Canis lupus familiaris: one gene and its partners. The protein of the gene in region 1 interacts with the protein of each later gene in a biochemical or structural test. Links are inferred from orthologs where the notes say so. Each region holds a gene or a part of one and is shown on either strand. Other genes may lie near its edges.

Evidence for each region.
Region 2: the proteins of RUFY1 (region 1) and RAB14 form a complex in vitro, tested with the Homo sapiens proteins (2 studies listed by BioGRID). The link is inferred for Canis lupus familiaris from reciprocal best matches to the Homo sapiens genes RUFY1 and RAB14.
Region 3: the proteins of RUFY1 (region 1) and RAB4A form a complex in vitro, tested with the Homo sapiens proteins (2 studies listed by BioGRID). The link is inferred for Canis lupus familiaris from reciprocal best matches to the Homo sapiens genes RUFY1 and RAB4A.

What each region holds. Positions count from the first base shown.
Region 1 is NC_049232.1:2,389,277-2,394,967, reverse strand, and holds the start of RUFY1 (RUN and FYVE domain-containing protein 1), read left to right. Parts: upstream 1-2,222; 5' UTR 2,223-2,242; coding exon 2,243-2,528; intron 2,529-2,585; exon of another isoform or gene 2,586-2,917; intron 2,918-5,691. UniProt on the Homo sapiens protein: Activating adapter involved in cargo sorting from early/recycling endosomes. Regulates retrieval of proteins from endosomes to the trans-Golgi network through interaction with the dynein-dynactin complex.
Region 2 is NC_049232.1:74,591,221-74,597,064, reverse strand, and holds the start of RAB14 (ras-related protein Rab-14), read left to right. Parts: upstream 1-2,024; 5' UTR 2,025-2,109; intron 2,110-2,718; exon of another isoform or gene 2,719-3,011; intron 3,012-5,844.
Region 3 is NC_049225.1:10,361,372-10,367,121, forward strand, and holds the start of RAB4A (ras-related protein Rab-4A), read right to left. Parts: upstream 3,821-5,750; 5' UTR 3,802-3,820; coding exon 3,741-3,801; intron 1-3,740. UniProt on the Homo sapiens protein: The small GTPases Rab are key regulators of intracellular membrane trafficking, from the formation of transport vesicles to their fusion with membranes.

The DNA of each region.
Region 1 (5,691 bases):
AATGTTGTTGCTTCACATTGCATCGTTCAGAAGAGCCATTTGCTTCAATGGGCCATTCCTGGCCACAGAGTACCAGCTATGGCCAGATACTGAAGATTATAAAATGCCAACAAAAGTGTAAACATCTACATGTGAGATACAGGGGCTTTCAGCTGATGGGCCAACTCATCATACCAATGAAGCCACGAGGTTCCATGTCTTTGGATACCACTTTGGAACAGGCAAGTCACTGAACCCACTCTGCCGTGCCGCCTAATTCAATCCAAAGTCCACATCAAGGAGAAAATGAGCCGCCTGCAACCACAGCATGCAAACACGAAGCCTCTTGCAATGGGAAGCAGTGAGAGAAAGCTATAAGCAGGGGGCTGAAAGGATCAGGCCTAAGTCTGGGGAACAGAGGAACAATCTCGCCTAGAACAGAGTAAAGCCCCAAGATGTAAGATGTCCTGGAGAGTGTCTGCAAAGCGAGGTGAGAGTCCACGCAGGCAGGGGCACTGGGAAAAGAAGGGCAGGGCCAGATGTGAGTGACAGATGGAGTCTGAGAAATGTAGTGAGAAACCTTCAGACAATTAGAAAGAAAAATGAGGCAGAGGGTAGACTCACACTCAGAAGGAGGCAGCAGGCAGCTGAAATTCAAGGCATAGAAAAACAGGTCTGGAGAAGATTGAAGAAAGGACCAGGAGGATGTGGAGAAAACATGGGGAGGGGGGATTGAGCTACATATTTGGAGATAGGGCCTTTCTAATTAGTATGGGACATTTCAAGCATATGAAAAATCATAGAAAATAACAAACCTGTACAGTTTTTAAAATTTTACTATTTGTACCTAAAATAATCATATACATCCTCTTCACCAAGTGGGCTCCAAACCACAGGTTCCTCTTACCAAATTTTCTCCAAAGTTGGCCTCATATATAGTAAAATTACAAAGAATTTTAAACTACTGTGTGTTGCTAGGCTTGAAATAGTTACATGCAAATTCAGTTACCTTCGCTATGGGGCCCATCATAACCTTTCGATAATACATTTTTTAAAAAGATTTTATTTATTTATTTATTTATTCATGAGAGACACAGAAAGAGAGAGTCAGAGACACAGGCAGAGAGAGAAGCAGGCTCCCGGCAAGGAGCCTGTTGTGGGACTCGATCCCAGGACCCGGGGATCATGACCTTAGCAGGAGGCAGACACTCAACCACTGAGTCACCCAGGCATTCCCGATAATACTTTTTTTTTTTTAAAGATTTTATTTATTTATTCATGAGAGACACAGAAAGAGCAGAGACACAGGCAGAGGGAGAAGCAGGCTCCATGCAGGGAGCCCAATGTGGGACTCGATCCCGGGTCTCCAGGATCACGCCCCGCGCCAAAGGCAGGCGCTAAAGTGCTGAGCCACCCAGGGATCCCCCAAGATAATACATGCCTTATAATGCCCACTGACTATTCTAAAATGCAATTCATAGATAATAAGCTTGCCAACACTCAAAATTCCAAAAAAATTAACATAAAGTCCTATTATATAAAGGAGAAATCAATTATAAAGTGTATTTCAATATATAAATAAGGCACAATCACTGCTAAAAGAAATAAGGCAACCAGGCACTTGTACCTAAAATCCCTGATGGTGACAGTACGGGTATTGCCTTTTTTTTTTTTTAGATTTTATTCATTCAAGAGAGACACAGAGGGAGACAGAGACACAGGCAGAGGGAGAAGCAGGCGCCTCACAGGGAGCCCGATGCGGGACCCGATCCTAGGACCCTGGGGTCACGCCCTGAGCCAGACAGACGCTCAACCGCTAGGCCGCCCAGGCGTCCCTATGTAGGATTTTTTAATTAAAAAAAAAAAATCTTGATTTTCTACCTCGCCTAGAGCTTGTTCTGAAGAGTGCTGCAGAAAAGTGTCGAAATAGAAAAAGTAAGTCATGAAACGAAAATCAGAAAGAGGAAACAGAGCCAGGATGACACCAAAGCCCTCGGGCTGTGTTCCGAGCCAGGGGAGGGGGCAGGACCCAAGTCCTCTCAACTGCCAGGAATATGGGTGCTGCTTTTTAGGTTATGATTTGTACTTTCCTGAACTTTTTTAAGGTTAAAGGAAGGAGAGAAGGAGGGTGATGAAGAGGAAGGAGAACTTCGCGAAGATGGAAAAAAAAAAATCCCTGCCCGCCCGGACGGAGACCGCCGCCCCCCCGCGCGCCCGCCCGCGCCCAGTCCTCCGCCCGCCGGGGCCACGTGACGCGGCCAAGATGGCCGAAGGGGAAGACGGCTCCCTGGCGGGGCGGGAACCGAGGCCGGAACCCGGAGAAGAGTTCGAGATCGTGGACCGCAGCCAGCTGCCTAGCCCCGGCGAACTGCGGAGCGCGGCGAAGCCTCAGGCGGGGTCGGAGGGCTGGTCGGCGCCCATCCTGACCCTGGCGCGGAAGGCCACGGGCAACCTGTCGGCGAGCTGCGGCGTCGCGCTGCGTGCGGCCGCAGCGCTGGGCGGCGCGGACGGCGGCGGGGACGGCGGCGCCGCCAGCGGAGCGCGCGCAGGTAGGCCGGGGCGGGGCGGCGGGGGTCGAGGGGCGGGGGGCCGCGCGCGCCCGCTGAGCGGGTGGGGAGCCGGGCTGGCGAGGGCGTCGAGGCTCCGAAGCCTGTCAGACGAGTTCTGCAGAACCAACCTGCTACACGTGTGCTTTACGCTGTGCGAGCCGAGCCAAGAGAGGTCAAGAGAGGTTTGGGTGCCCGGAGATCCGGCGGCCCCGCTACCGCACCAGGCAACATCCTGACCCTCGGTGCTGGATAAGAAAATGCACGAGTTAAAGCTTACGTTGTCTGTATTCATTTTTTAAAAACTGAGGAGCTGAGTCTCCAGTTCCGCTCTGGGCGGTGAACCTCGAGATGCGCGCTCCGACGTGGAAGTCAGGAGGCGGTGGTTCCAGGTGAGCCGTGCAGCCAGCTAGCAGTCTGATGCCCAGACTGTGCAATGGGGACTTTTGGGTTCCCCGGGGAGCTCTTCTCCTTTTCAGCCCTTGTTATCGGGGATAGACTTTCAGCATGTTAGAAGAATGGAAATAATGGAAATACTAAATGATGATTTTGAGTGTGAACTGGAAAGCCTTTTAAAAGCCAGATATGAAGAGCTGTGCTCACCCACAGAATAGCCACACGTAAGCAATGCTTAAATGTTAAATTAAGGGACGCCTGGGTGGCTCAGGGTTGGGCATCTGCCTTCGGATCAGGGCGTGATCCCGGGGTCCTGGGATCGAGTCCCACATAGGGCTGCCCCCACAGGGAGCCTGCTCCTCCCTCTGCCTGTGTCTCTGCCTCACTCTGTGTCTCATGAATAAATAAAATCTTTTTTAAAACATTAAATGGAAATTAAAATTTCAGTTCCGTCTTCATAGAAAGTGCTGTGGGGCAGAGTTGAAGAAAGTCGGGTGTTATATGTTGGCAAATCGAATTTAAAATTGAAATAAATAAAAATAAAAGTAAAAAAGAAACCACTGAGGAGGGCACTTGATGGGATGAGCGCTGGGTTTTATACTATATATTGGCAAATTGAATTTAAATAAAATTTAAAATAAATAGAGGGAAGTCGGTAGTGCTAAGAATCATAATGTGCCATCGAGGTTTCTTGATTCCCTCCTCCCCACGGGTAAATTTGCTGTTTAGAAGTCATCACTGAAAAAAAAAAAAAAAAAAAAAAAAAAAAAAAAAAATAGAAGTCATCACTGAACCAGCATAGTGAATCCTGAGAATTTCAGTGGTTGGGAAAGTAATGAGTAGAGGAAAGTTTACAAACGGACTTGTTTTGAGATTCTGGCAGTGGCAAAGAGGTGCAGAAGGTAATGAAGGCGGCTGTTCACACAGGAATCTAGTTCCCACTGCCTTTGCACACACCTGTGGGTGTTTGATTGTGAACCAGCCATTGCCTCCAGTGGTTTTCAGTGATTTCCAAAAGTCAAGGCATGAGGCGTTCTGGAGGCTTCTGAGATCATGGAGCAAAAGCAAATAATAAATGTTAGTCATCCACTGATATATGACATGTGCCAGTACCTAGAATAGCACCTGGCACAGTATAATAATAAATATCAGTTGAACACATGTATTTGGAAAATACTTGATTTCAATTTATAGTGGCGCTAAAAGTAGCAGCCAACATTTGTATCATTTGTTTCATGCTTACTAGGTGCCAGGTATTATTAGTCTTAGATCTGTACCTACGTTATATTCCTTTAACCCTCAAAATAACCTCAGGTGATAGCAGGACTGACTTCTGGGTGCGCATCAATGCATGGTTTGGCCAATGTGATCACCCAGGTACTGGGTGAGGTGCCCTACACTTTAAATTCTTATTATCTTCAAATGTGTGTTTTGTAAGTGAAACCTACTGGGACAGAGGAGCCCTGAGGGGCCTTGGAGCCAGCTGGTGTATGGTCCCACCTTCCACAGACCGGGAGGGGTACCTGCTGCAGCTGCCCTGGGGCTTCTGCCTGCCCACCCTAGCCCCTGCTCCATGGCCACTGCTAGCCCAGGGAGGGTTGGGGTTGTGCCCTCTGAATCTCAGGGCTTGGCTGGGTGGCCCCTTGCCAACCCAACCAGATACAGACTTCATCTCTGCAGGAAGTGGCAATCCCCTAGGGCCTTTAAAAGGGGAGAGGGAACTTCCATACCTCCACCCACGGAGCCAGCCTATGTGCCAGCCCATGTGCTTAGCCCCATTTTATAAAGAGGGAAACCAATTTTTTTAAAGATTTTTTTTTTTAATTTACTCATAGACACAGAGAGAGAGAGGCAGAGACACAGACAGAGGGAAAAGCAGGCTCCATGCAGGGAGCCTGATGTGGGACTCGATCCCGGGCCTCCGCTGCACCACCGGGGCTGCCCAGAAACCAAATTAAAGAGAAGTAATTTGACCAAGTTACTTCAAAGTAGCAGAGCCAGGGCTTGAGCCAGGCTGTTTCTCGAGCCTGTGCTTAATCATGACATTCAGTGCCTCAATGCCTATATAAGCAGAATGCCATATACCATAGGGATTATTTTAAATGTAAGGATAACATTAAAGGAATAACTACCCTCGGATTTGGCACAAATGGTGAATGAACATGGCTTACCCAGGGTGGCAGTGTGGGGAACTGCTGGGCTGTGTGGCCAGTGCAGAGGTAACTAGAATTTGAAGCCATCAAGTAGTATAGGAATAGGGATGGGGGGCAGCAGGCTCTGAAGGAGGCTTCAGAAAAGCAGGTCAGGAGAAAACAGTGGCCACCACTTCAGCCACGGCCAGGCCAGGGCCAGCTCATTCATCTCTTTTCCACTGATCCACATACACAAGCAGTGAGGACAGAGATTTTTCAGAAGAGCAGTGAAGGAGCAGAGATTAAATGTGAGCAGCGCTCTTGCCAGATAAAAATCCATTGGTGATGGAGGTTAAAGGAAACTGATGTGGATTAGTGTAGAACGCTTTGAATAGTTATTTTATTTTTTTAAAAAAGATTTTATTTATTTATTCATAGAGACACAGAGAGAGAGAGGCAGAGACACAGGCAGAGGGAGAAGCAGGCTCCATGCAGAGAGCCCAACGTGGGACTCGATCCAGGGTCCCCAGGATCACACCCTGGGCTGCAGGCGGCGCTAAACCGCTGCACCACCGGGGCTGCCCTGAATAGTTGTTTTAAAACGTTATCCCCCATGGGCCCTGTTAGCGCAGCGTGCC
Region 2 (5,844 bases), about 72 Mb from region 1:
TTGCAGAGATTAAATAAGAAAATATACATGATTCTTAGGTCAGTTCCTCTTTCACACTGAGTGTGCAAGAAGCATTAGCTAGTCACGAAGGTCTTCAACCCAAGGGGACAAGTGGATATAGTGAAACGTTCTGGCCAGACCTAAGCTCACAGCTGGACAAGTGATGCCAAATGGTTCACAGCTTCCTTCTTTCCTTTGCAAATTTCTTGATTTCAGAGATGTTGAATCATGAGCACAAAGTATGCTTATTGGAATTAAAGAATACAGGAAGGGCAGCTCTGGTGGCCCAGCGGTTCAGTGCCGCCTTCAGCCCAGGGCGTGATCCTGGAGACCCGGGATGGAGTCCCACGTCGGGCTCCCTGCATGGAGCCTGCTTCTCCCTCTGCCTGTGCCTCTGCCTGTGTCTCTCTCTGTGTCTCTCATGAATGAATGAATGAATAAATAAATAAATAAATAAATAAATAAATAAATAAATAAAATCTTAAAAAAATAAAAATAAAGAATACAGGAATAGAAGCATAGACCTCCAGGGCCAGAAGGGATTTCAACATAACCTTATATCGGATTATCACCTAATAGCCATTCCCACGTATTAAAAACGCGTATGTCAAGCGCTTTGTGTATATCACCTCATTTAACGCTCACAAGGACCCACGGGTGATAGGTATCATCATCCTCATTTTGCAGAAAAGACTGCGGATCTGGGAAATCAAGGGACGTGCCCAGCCGTGGGTCATCAGTAAGTGGAAGATCAGGGATTCGCAGCCGGGTCTTTCTGAAAATGAGACATGTGTGAACTGCCATACGGTTTTCCAAGGAAGTGTCCCGTCGCCGAGGCAAAGCCAGCTTCTGAAAGCTCCTCCTGCCGAGAGCCTGAGCTTCCTTTGGGTAAACTGAGGCAGGGCCGTCACCTGAGCCACCGGAAGCACCGAGCCTGGGGCCCACGATGCTTTCGTGGGGACCCGCAGAAATGTCTTCAGTGCTTTGAAAGTCAGGAAGGAAAGATGAATTTCCAGGTTAAAGAAAGTGTCGTGCGGTGTGACATTAAAACATCCCTCTCCACGCCAACGTAGCTGTAAAACGCTAACAATAGGAACACAGAAGTACAGGAACAGGCGATCCCCGTAACCGTCTCCGCAGGCACAGGCGGGCGTTGGGGTCCCCCGAGGGCCGCCCGCCGCCGGCTGCGCAGGGCCTTCCGGGAGGGTGGCAGGCCGGAGGCGCCGGGGTGCTGGGGTGCTCGGGCCCCGCGTCCCAGGGCCCCTCGGAGGGCAGAGGCGACCCACAACGGGAAGCGCCACGTTCCGGCTGCTGGATCCCGGGCCCCCGGCTCGATCGACGCGAGCCTCAGTTTCGCCATCGGTACAATGGGGCCAAGAGCCTCCTGCGGCTGCGGGACGGGGACGCGTGCCCTCGGGCCCCGCTGCGGGCGGGCGCAGCAGACTGTGCCCGGCGTGGGGCGCGCGGCGCGGGCGTGTCCGGCAGGCGGGGGCGGGGGGGCGGGGGCCGGGGCCGGGGCCGGGGCGCCGGGAGCCGCAGGGTCCACCGAGCGCCGAGCCCGGCCCGCCCCGCCCCGGCCCGGCCCGCCCCCAGCAGGTGCCGCGCGCGCCTGCGCAGGAGCGCCCCTGGGAAGCGGGCGCCGGCCGCTGCGCCTGCGCACAAGCGCCGCCCTCCGCCCCTCCAGGCGCCGCCGCCCGCGGGGCGGGTCTCGGCGGCCGCGCGGCGAGTCCCGAGGGCCGCGGCGGGGAAGGGGCGTGGCCAGCAGGCCGGGCCGGCCGCCGTCTTCCGGGCCCCGCCGGCTGCGCGCGCAGCCTCCTCCCCCCGCTTCTTTTGTGGTCCGGCCCATTGCGAGGGTGACAGGAAACCCTGTGCAGGGAGCGCCGCCATCTTGGACCTGCCCGAGGAGATCCTGAGGGAGCCGCGGAGCCGTCGCCGCCGCCCCCGCCGCTGCCGCCGGCGCGCCTGCACCTCGTCGGCCAGCCCGCCGCCCCCGGGGCCCCGGCCGCCCGCCCGCCCGCCCGCCCGCCCGCGCCGCCCGCCGCGCCCGCTTCCTCGTCCTGACGCCCCCCGCCCGCCCGGAAAGCTGCCCAGCCACCAGCAACCCCCCAGGTGAGCCGGGCCTTCCGCAGCGTCCGTCGGGCCGCGGCCGCCTGGCGCGGGGGCGGGGGGCGGGGGCGGGGGCGCCGCGGGCGGGCCGGCCGGGGGGCGGGGGCGGCGGGGGCGCGGGCGAGGGCGCGGGCGAGGGCGTGTGCGGCCGGCCGCCGCCGCCCCCGCGAGCCCGGACGTGGAGCCCCGGCCCCGGCGCCGGCCCGCGTGGGCCCGGGCACAAAGGCGGCAGCTGGAGGCCTCGCCGGCGCGGCGGGGCTCGGTGTCCTTGTCGGCGGGGCCGCGGCGGAGGGCCGGGGCGGTGAGGGCCCTGAGGGCCGGGGAGGCTGAGGGCCGCGGCTGCTGAGGGCCGGGGCGGCCCGGACGGCGCCGAGCTTGGGTGGCGTCGGCCCGCCGTGAAGGCGACAAAAAGTTGTGGGTTTTGAGCGTTTCTGGGACTGGAGGGGAGACGGCGGAGCAGGGAGCCCGTCGCCGGTGGCCCTGGCTGCCGACTGCGCCGGCTCCGCTTGGCCCGGTCGGGCCCGGGCTGGGGGCTGCGAGGTCCGCGTCCCCGTCCCCGCCCCCGGCGCCCCCCGCCGCGAGCCCCCGCGCCCTCCGGCCTCGCCGCCTCACCTGCAGGGCGGGTGTAAGGTCAGTCGTTGCTTGCAGAGGAGGGAAGGCGGTCGCGGGAGGCCGCGGGAGGCTCCTCTAAAGCCGAACGGCCCCAGATTCTTGAGGCTCAAGCGACGTCTTTCAAGTCTCTGCTTCTGACGACCCAGCCCGGGCCCGTCCCGCCGCGAGCGTCTTTACGTAACCGCGGTAGGAGAGGGCTCCGCGGGAGCGGCCTCGGCCCAGGCAGGACGCCGGAGCCCGGGACGTCTGGTGCGGCCGAGACACGCCTGCGCGCGGACGGGCTGCGCCTCGGAACTTGAGGGCGTAGCTTCCAGCGTGTGCGGGGGGGTCCCGGGAGTGTCGGGGTCGCCCCCCCCCCCCCCGCCACGTTGCTTTGAGGACCGTTCCCTTCAGACATCACGTTTCATCAGTGAAACTTTGGCCGTTTCTGGCCCTCTTAGTGCTTGTAGTAAAGTAGGTGCGGGCCCCTGGCTGGTTCTTGCCCTTGAAGCACGGCTGCGGCGCCCAAGCACTTTCTTCCTAGGCTGCGGCCATGACGGCAGAACTGCCCTGCTCGTGGCACAGTAGAAACCCGGCTCTTTTTCTTGTATTAGTTGATGCAAAGATGTGACATTGACTGTCCTGCCAAGAGTGAGTTTTTTAAAGTGGAGGTCAGAATGGGTGGGCTCTTCTCCGAGGTTGCGTTACTGCTGAGACCGCGCATTCGGATTCCCCGAGCACAGCACCGGTCTACACTGTGTCCCCGGCACAGCCTGTTAGCGAGTCCGACCGCCGCTAAGTCTCCGGGAGGCGGGCGCGACGCTCCTCTTGGTCGCTCCTGCCTTGTCAAAGCCTCACGCAGACTCTGTGCTTCGCAGATGCTCAACAAGGATTTCCGTGTTGGGATCACAGTGCTTTTGGGCGCTCGGTCCAGTTCTGTGTCTATAACGAGATGTCTTACGTGTAGCAAAACCCCAAACCAAGCTTAGTAATGTTAATAATGAGGATCAGAATGTAAATCACCTGGAATCTTTGTGGGTTGTTTTTGTCCTGTGTTGTCTTGAATAAGTTATGTAAAAATTACATCGTAGCATCGTTCGTCCTAAGAAGTAGAATAAAATAGCCGTTTAATGGTTGTGAGAGGATTAGTCAGACGTAGTGCCTGAGTGAACACAGTAAAAGCCAAGGTATTAAAAAAGAAAAAATGCTGTCAATTTTCGGAGTGTGTTTTTTGAGGCCGATCATATGATTGACTTTCCCCATATTATTATGAATTTCCCCATATTATTGTAAATGTGTAAGTAATGTTGGAACTATTATGAATGGGAGTTGTTTTATTTTTGGAAAATATTTATTCTAGAGAGATTGAAGGCATGTGAGTAGGGCTGGGGCTGGGGCTGGGGCAGAGGGAGAGAAAATCTTCAAGCCGACTCCTGAGATGATGACCTGGGCCAAAGTCCAGAGTTGACCACTTAACTGAATGGGCCACCCAGGCGCTGCTTGTTTTTGTTGATTCTTGTTTGTTTTGTATTAGAATAGTTCTTTATCTACTTTGAATACTTTAGAATATCACCAGTGAATATAGCACATGCTTACACTGTTAATAGAGTTATATAAAGTTAATAATTTCTCCCTATCCTTTTTCTTCTCAGTCCACATACTCATTTTTCACAATTTGGTGTGTATCCTTCCATATTATCTGTATACAGGTTTGAGGGAGAGTGTGTGTATGTGTGTGTGTTTAAAAATGGGATATGCCACTGCATAAAATTCTATCAACTTTTTTTTTTCCACTTAAAAATCATGGATATATTTTTAAGTTTATTATCCATCTCTGAATGGTTTTTAAACTAGAAGCATGTTATTTCATGATACTTTAGTCATTTCCCTGTTGATAGAAGTATAGATTGTTTCCAGTTTTTTTGGTTTTGGGTTTTGTTTTGTTTGCTGTATAAGTACTGCATTAGATGCAGTTGGACCTATAACCTTATGGATTGAAGATCTTGTATCTGTAGGCTACTTCTTGGTCACAGTTGATTGGGATTATCTTTAAGATTTTAAAATATATTGTTTACTTCCCAAAAAAATGTGGCAATTCAGACTCTTGTAAGCAGAGTGTATGAAAGGTCCTTAACCTTCTCGTCTGCATGCACATTTCAAATACAGTCATTTATATATCTGTTTAATTTCACTTGGAGATGTATCTAACTATATGGAGACCATGCGACTTTATTTTGGGGGCAACAATGATTTGTCTTTAATGTGTATTTAGTAACCATGTAGATCTCTGTGTATTGGCCTGGAAATGGATCCATGATTTTGTTAAGTGAAAAACATGCAGTTTGATGCAGTAGCATACCCCATTTTAAAATATATTCCTTACCTTAAGGGTGTTTCTTGTGTTGAAGATTTAATGTTAATCTCAAAAAATCCGTTGTTAAAGGAGTATTAGGCATAGTTAATATTTAAAGGGACTACACCACAATCATCAGTGTTTGGTATGCATGTAGTAATCATTAGTCTTGACAAGAAGTTTAGTGCTAAGTTTTACATGCAGTGATAGTAAGGCCTGACCCTAAATATTTCGTGTAATTATCTTCCATTTTTCTTTGATTTTTTTTTTTTTTTTTTAAGTTTTATTTGTTCATGAGACACACTGAAAGAGGCAGAGACACAGGCAGAGGGACAAGCAGGCTGTCAGTGGGGAGCCCTATATGGGACTCCATCCCAGGACCCCGGGATCGTGCCCTGAGCCGAAGGCAGACGCTCAACTGCTGAGCCACCCAGGCGCCCTGTTTTGGTTTTATCAGTTTACATATGTATGTATATCAGTCCACATACATATATGCTTTTAATAACCCGCCTTAGAGAAAATCATGTTCTTTGGAGTCAGGCCTGGGTTCAGATTCCAGCTCTGCCATTTACTATTTTTGTAACACAGGCCAAATTAATGAATTTCTCTAAACTTCAATTTCTTCAGTTTTTGCATGGACATAATGACTGCAGAGTTGTGAGAATTAAGTAAGAATTATATGAAGGGAAAAGTACTGATGATCATCACACGGTTTACTCTAAACAAATGTTGTTACCTTCAGAAACTTTAAGTGGATATAACTTGAATTAGTGTTATCATTCATATCTACAAAT
Region 3 (5,750 bases), on another chromosome or scaffold:
TGTGACTCCTGATCTCAGGGTTGTGGGTTCAAGGCCCACACCGGGTGTAGAGAGTTAAAAATAAAACTTAAAATAAAATATGCAAAGTCCCCACAGGCAGGGCAAAGATGTAGTACTCATTTTATGAGGACTCCTATAATAATAATCAGAAGCTAATGAACAAGAAAAATGGTATTAAAACTAAGGGAGCACACTACATATAATATTTTAAATTATAACACAAGAGAGAAAAATACTTTGTTTTTAAGTTCCCAATTTTTTCTGCATGATTAAAATTTCATATTTGAAAAATTACAAACCTCTACAATACATCCACTCATTCATAATTTATTAGCATTTTATGAATAGTGTACCCTAGCTCCATATCTAAATATTGTTAGCTGCTTTGAAGACTAAAATGCAAAAGACACAGCACATAAGAGAAACAGAAACAAAAGACTGATGTAACTAAGTATTGCCATACAAGAGTTTACCATTCTGAGTAGCATAGGGCAGAGCCACAAAGCATTCTTTCTCCAGGTATCACAGCCATCATTATGGGATTCATTTCTGTTGGTCAAATCTCTTCAATATAAACTTATTTTGGTTTGGAAAGCTTTGAGGGGGATTACAAAGGAAGAAAATCTGTAGCTATACAGTGCTTATTTCATTTATGTGTTATAGTGCCATTCATTACACTTGTCTTACTTTATCCATACCTTACATGTCATTTTAGCTTTTAAATCATACAGCTACAGAGAAGCAAAAAAAAAATGTATTTTTCAAACATATAGAGCGTAGTCCTTTATCAAGATGAGACTGATAGAGAAGCAGGGACAGAGACAAGCATTACAGAACACAGAGGATTCAAAGGTTTTCCCTCAAACTAGTTTCACTGGCATGTATCCTAATGGGGTTTTCAGGAATGGGGGAAAAAAAAATCCATGACAGCAGTCTAACCAATCTCTAGGGGATGGTTTATGAGAAGAAATTCAAGAAATATCAGCTTTCTTCTTATTCCAAAGAAATATTCAGAGCAAAGAACATCAACACACTAGCTTGCTTATATACAGGTACAAGTGACCACTATAGTATTGAACCTTACAAAAGAATTCTATAATAGCTAGTTCATACAAAGGGCCCAAAGTGCAAGTTACTTTTCAAAAAACATTGGCGATATGGTCCTTAACAAAGGAGACCTTACCATTATTATTATTATTAGAAGTAAAGTGCACATTTATGCTGACACATAATCATCTTTCAAGGAGCACAACCATTTACTTAAATCATTATGATATTCCTATGAAGCTGTGGCACATGTTACCAATAGTCTGGGTCCCCAAATAAATTTGACCAAGACCCCTTCCAACACACCCCTACCAGAAACCACCAAGTCCATCCTTGCCCAGTGAGTTCATGCCAACTATTGATGCTGCTTAAGCAGTTACATGGCTGCCATGCCACGAGTGGTAGCAACTAGCATCGCTGCTCAAGTCACTGTGATGAAGAACCTTGGGATGATGGTTTTTTTTTCCTTATAATCCACTAATCTGACCCCAACGTCATCTTCCCTTGTCTCTTCTAGGGTAAATGGTAGCTTGAACTATGTTAAGGGGTCAGTTTAAAAAGACAGAAACCAACTGGACTCAGGAGACAGGATGATGAAGAATTAAAACTGGACTAACTTTCTCCTTAGGCAAATGGATACATCAGACAAATAGAAGGTTGGGGAGTAGTAGGTAATCAGTTGGGTCTGGGACACATTGTGTTAGGATACCCCAGGCCATCCAAATGGAATAGTTAGGTACAGAGTTTAATATAAGATATTAAACCTGAGTGAATGTGACTGGAAATAAAGGTTTAGGAGTGAGACATTCATAGGTAAGGACTGAAATGCTTTATAGTTTAAATGACCATGAAAAATTATCACAAACTTTTACTTTTCTAAAGAACAATGTTTTCAAAAGTCTATGGTATTGGAGCCATTGTACAGTATAGGGCCCTGAACCAACAAACAGTACCTGTCTGGCCTGGGAGCTGATCAGGTGTGGAACCTCCATCCATTCCACATCTACTGTATCAGAACCCACACCTTCACACACCAGGGGGCTCAGAGGCCCATCAGTTCCAGACCCATTGGTGTAGTGTTCCCCAAACTCTGGTTCTTAAAATGTTCACCAATTTTCAGCAAATGAGAAAAAGAAAAATACAAACATTAAACATAATAAATGTATTCAATTTATAGAAATGTCCTTTATCCTGATGTTATATGCTTCCTTCATTAACCTTGTTTACATGCCCTGTCTTTTACTAAAATTTTTTTAAAGATTTTATTTGAGAGAGCACTACAAAATTTTTTTTAAAGATTTTATTTGAGAAAGAGAGCACACAGACAGAAAGCATACACACACACACACACACACACACACACAGAAAGAAGCAAATTCCCTGATGAGGAGGGAGCCCAATGTGGGGCTTGATCCCAGGACCCTGGGATCATGACCCAGGCCAAAAGCAGACGCTTAACCAACTGAGCCACCCAGATGCCCCTCTTTCAAGAAATTAACAAGGTAACGGTTATCTTGGTGATTTCTCTAACAGTAAGTTATTTTATACTTTATTGGTACCACATAACTTTAGAGATGTTATTTCCTTTGCCTGAAATAACCTCCTAACTCTACCTCTCCTAATAAGCCCCAATTTCTCTATGAATCGTATTCTAACTACCAAAGCCTATGTATTAGTTTTTTGGGGCTGCCATAACAAAATACCACAGACTGGATGGTATAAAAGTAGAGAAATTTATTGTCTAACAGTTCTAGAGGCTAAAAGTCCAAAATCAGAGGTCAGTAGGGCCATGCTTTCCCAGAGGCTCCAGGAAAGGATCCTTCCTTGCCTCTTTCTAGCTTCTGGTGGTTGCCGGAGATTCTTGGTGATTCTTGGCTTGTAGATACATCACTCCAATCTCAGCCTGCATCTTTGTATCCCATTCTCTCTGCATTATCTATGCAGATTTCTCTCATTTTATAAGAATATCAGTCACTGGATTAGGGCTTACCCTTATCCAATAGGACCTGTCTTGACCTGATTACATTACGTCTATTTCCAAATAAGGTCACATTCACAGGTCCTTGGGGTTAGGACCTAAATATGCCTTTTGGGAGATACAATTCAACCAACAACAGTCTATAATGATATATTTTTAAAAGAAGATATCTTGATAATTCTCCAAATTAGGTGGTAAATATTTTAATACTGTGCTTTCAAAGTAAGGCACAAGGGCAGCCCGGGTGGCTCAGCGGTTTAGCGCCACCTTCAGCCCGGGGCATGGTCCTGGAGACCTGGGATCGAGTCCCACGTCAGGCTCCCTGCATGGAGCCTGCTTCTCCCTCTGCCTGTGTCTCTGCCTCTCTCTCTCTCTCTCTCTCTCATGAATAAATAAAATCTTAAAAAAACAAAAACAAAGTAAGGCACAAAATAAAAATAGTAAGACTATATTGTAATAAAAATCAGCATAAGACTAAGAATTTGTAATGTTTCTGTTTCACAAACTGTATTTACTATAGAAACCATGAACTCCAAAGTGTAGAGATTTATCTTAGATGTTTCCTCAGTGGTAGACTGCTTTACTCCTTATTATTTTTTTTCTGGCATTTCAGGCACCACTTACTTTTTAGCTCCTTTCTGATCATTACTGCTTGGTACTACCTATTCAGTTTGTTAATTCTGTCTCACAAGTCTTGGTGTTAGGCATTACTTACAGCCGATTTCTGACTTCCCAAGTCTTGGATGGTTGGAGTTCCTCAGGAAGTTATAAGCCATACTAACTGGTCAAGGCTTTAAGAATGCTGTAAATCTAACAATATTTAGGAAACACTGTTTCAGTTTAGAGATATTAAAATCCAGGGTTTCAATCTGAAACCTGTTTAAAATTTCAACTTTGTATTACAATGTTATATACAGTATTCAATATTATATACAGTATGTGGTATATTACATGCACAGTATATATTATATACAGTATGTGGTATTGGTTTCAGGGCAGCAAAATGTTAAAAACTACTCAGTCTCTGGAAGGTGAAACATTGCCTTAATATGCTAAAAAGCAGGTAGATGTAGCTAATTAGTGGTACTCTGTGTAAGCACTGGCTCTTTATTTTTCATCCTATCCCTGTCAAGCTACACAGAGACTTCTTTTCTGGAGGAGAAAAATGAGCGTAGAGCATGAAGGAGTTTAAAGGTTAGGCACACATTCCTTTACTAGCTATCAAAGAGGCAAATGTCTGGAAGCCGGAACCTGATTGTTTTACTTTTGGGGAACAATGCTATGCAAATACAGTCAATGATAAATGAAGGTGACAGTTTAGGACTTTTGGTTGATTCTTGTTTTAGGTTCACAATTTCAACTGCTACTTTTGCTGTTTCAAAAACGAATTTTCTATTCCATTAGTTTTCTCTAATTGCCTCTACTAGAGAAAAGATGAGATTGTGAGTAAAAACAGCAAAAACATATTTGGGAAGTATCATGACATTAGAATACTATTGGTGAAAGCCTTTTGATCATCATTTAATCAGTTAATCTGTGATGCTCAAAAGTTCAATTAACTGTGTCTAAAGTGAAGCAGAGATATGCAGTATTTTATCAAGGCTATTTCATACTAGACAAATGAAAACTCAAGTCCTTCCTTACTAACTCATTATCCCCATTTGGTTTTATTTTGACTTTTCACCCCTATCTAATGCTACTTATCCAGGTTCAAGAAATAAAGCGTACGGGGTAAGGAGCACTTGAAAATAAAGAAAAGCAAAAGTACAGCCAAAAAATTGCTAGAGAAATGTATTTTCTTCACAAAATCTCCGTGGTTATCTAAAGGGAGAAGCAGACCACGTGGATGCACAGGACCATTTGCAGCTCTGACAACACTTAAAGCACCATGGACTTCCTGGAGGATTTCCCAAGCCTTCTAGGAATAGATGTAATGCCCCAAGTAGCCCCAAGAATGGGGCAAACACAAGTCATAGGAGGGGCTGAAGGTGAAGCAAATGTGCTGTGACCTCATACCTCTGAGGAGAAAGGTGGAAACCTGCCAAAGGCCCTCTCCACCACACCCTCACCCCTGCTCCACTGTTTAGGCTCCCCTTGTTGGAACTCCACCTCTCTCCCATCCAGGCCTGGGCATCTGCTGTTCTGCTATGCTGACCAGCTACTAACTACCTCCTGGGTTCCCCAGTCTGAGCCAGGTTTCCTTCCAACATACTTTCCTAGAGCACACTCCTTCAGAACTCCAGCCTGGAGCTTTAACTACTCATTCTGTAGTACCACGATGGCATTAGCTCTGTATCCTCCACTAGACTGCATGCTCCATGAGACCAGAACCACGCCTGTTGTGTCGCCTGCAGCACTGACAGCGCCTCCCAGCACCCTGCCTGCTCCATCAGGCCCTTCCACCTATGTTGCCAGAGCAGCAGGCCAGCACAAGTGATCTAAGTTCAGGTACATACTTTTGAACTTGAACCTCTCCCTGGGATTGTAAAACTCCCAATCTAAGGGTTAATCTGAGAATGCACACATCTGAACAAGTGATTAGTGACTGGTAAACATCTCAAGCCTGGCAAAGTAGACATGTACGATATTATTTATTTTTTTACCTCGCAGGGCTAAAACACCACAAACCCAAAAACAGTCTATGAATTGGAAAGGCTTTCGATTACTCGAAAAATTATCTGTGGAGACCCCTCTAGGGGTGGGTGCTTCAGGGGAAGCAAAGATT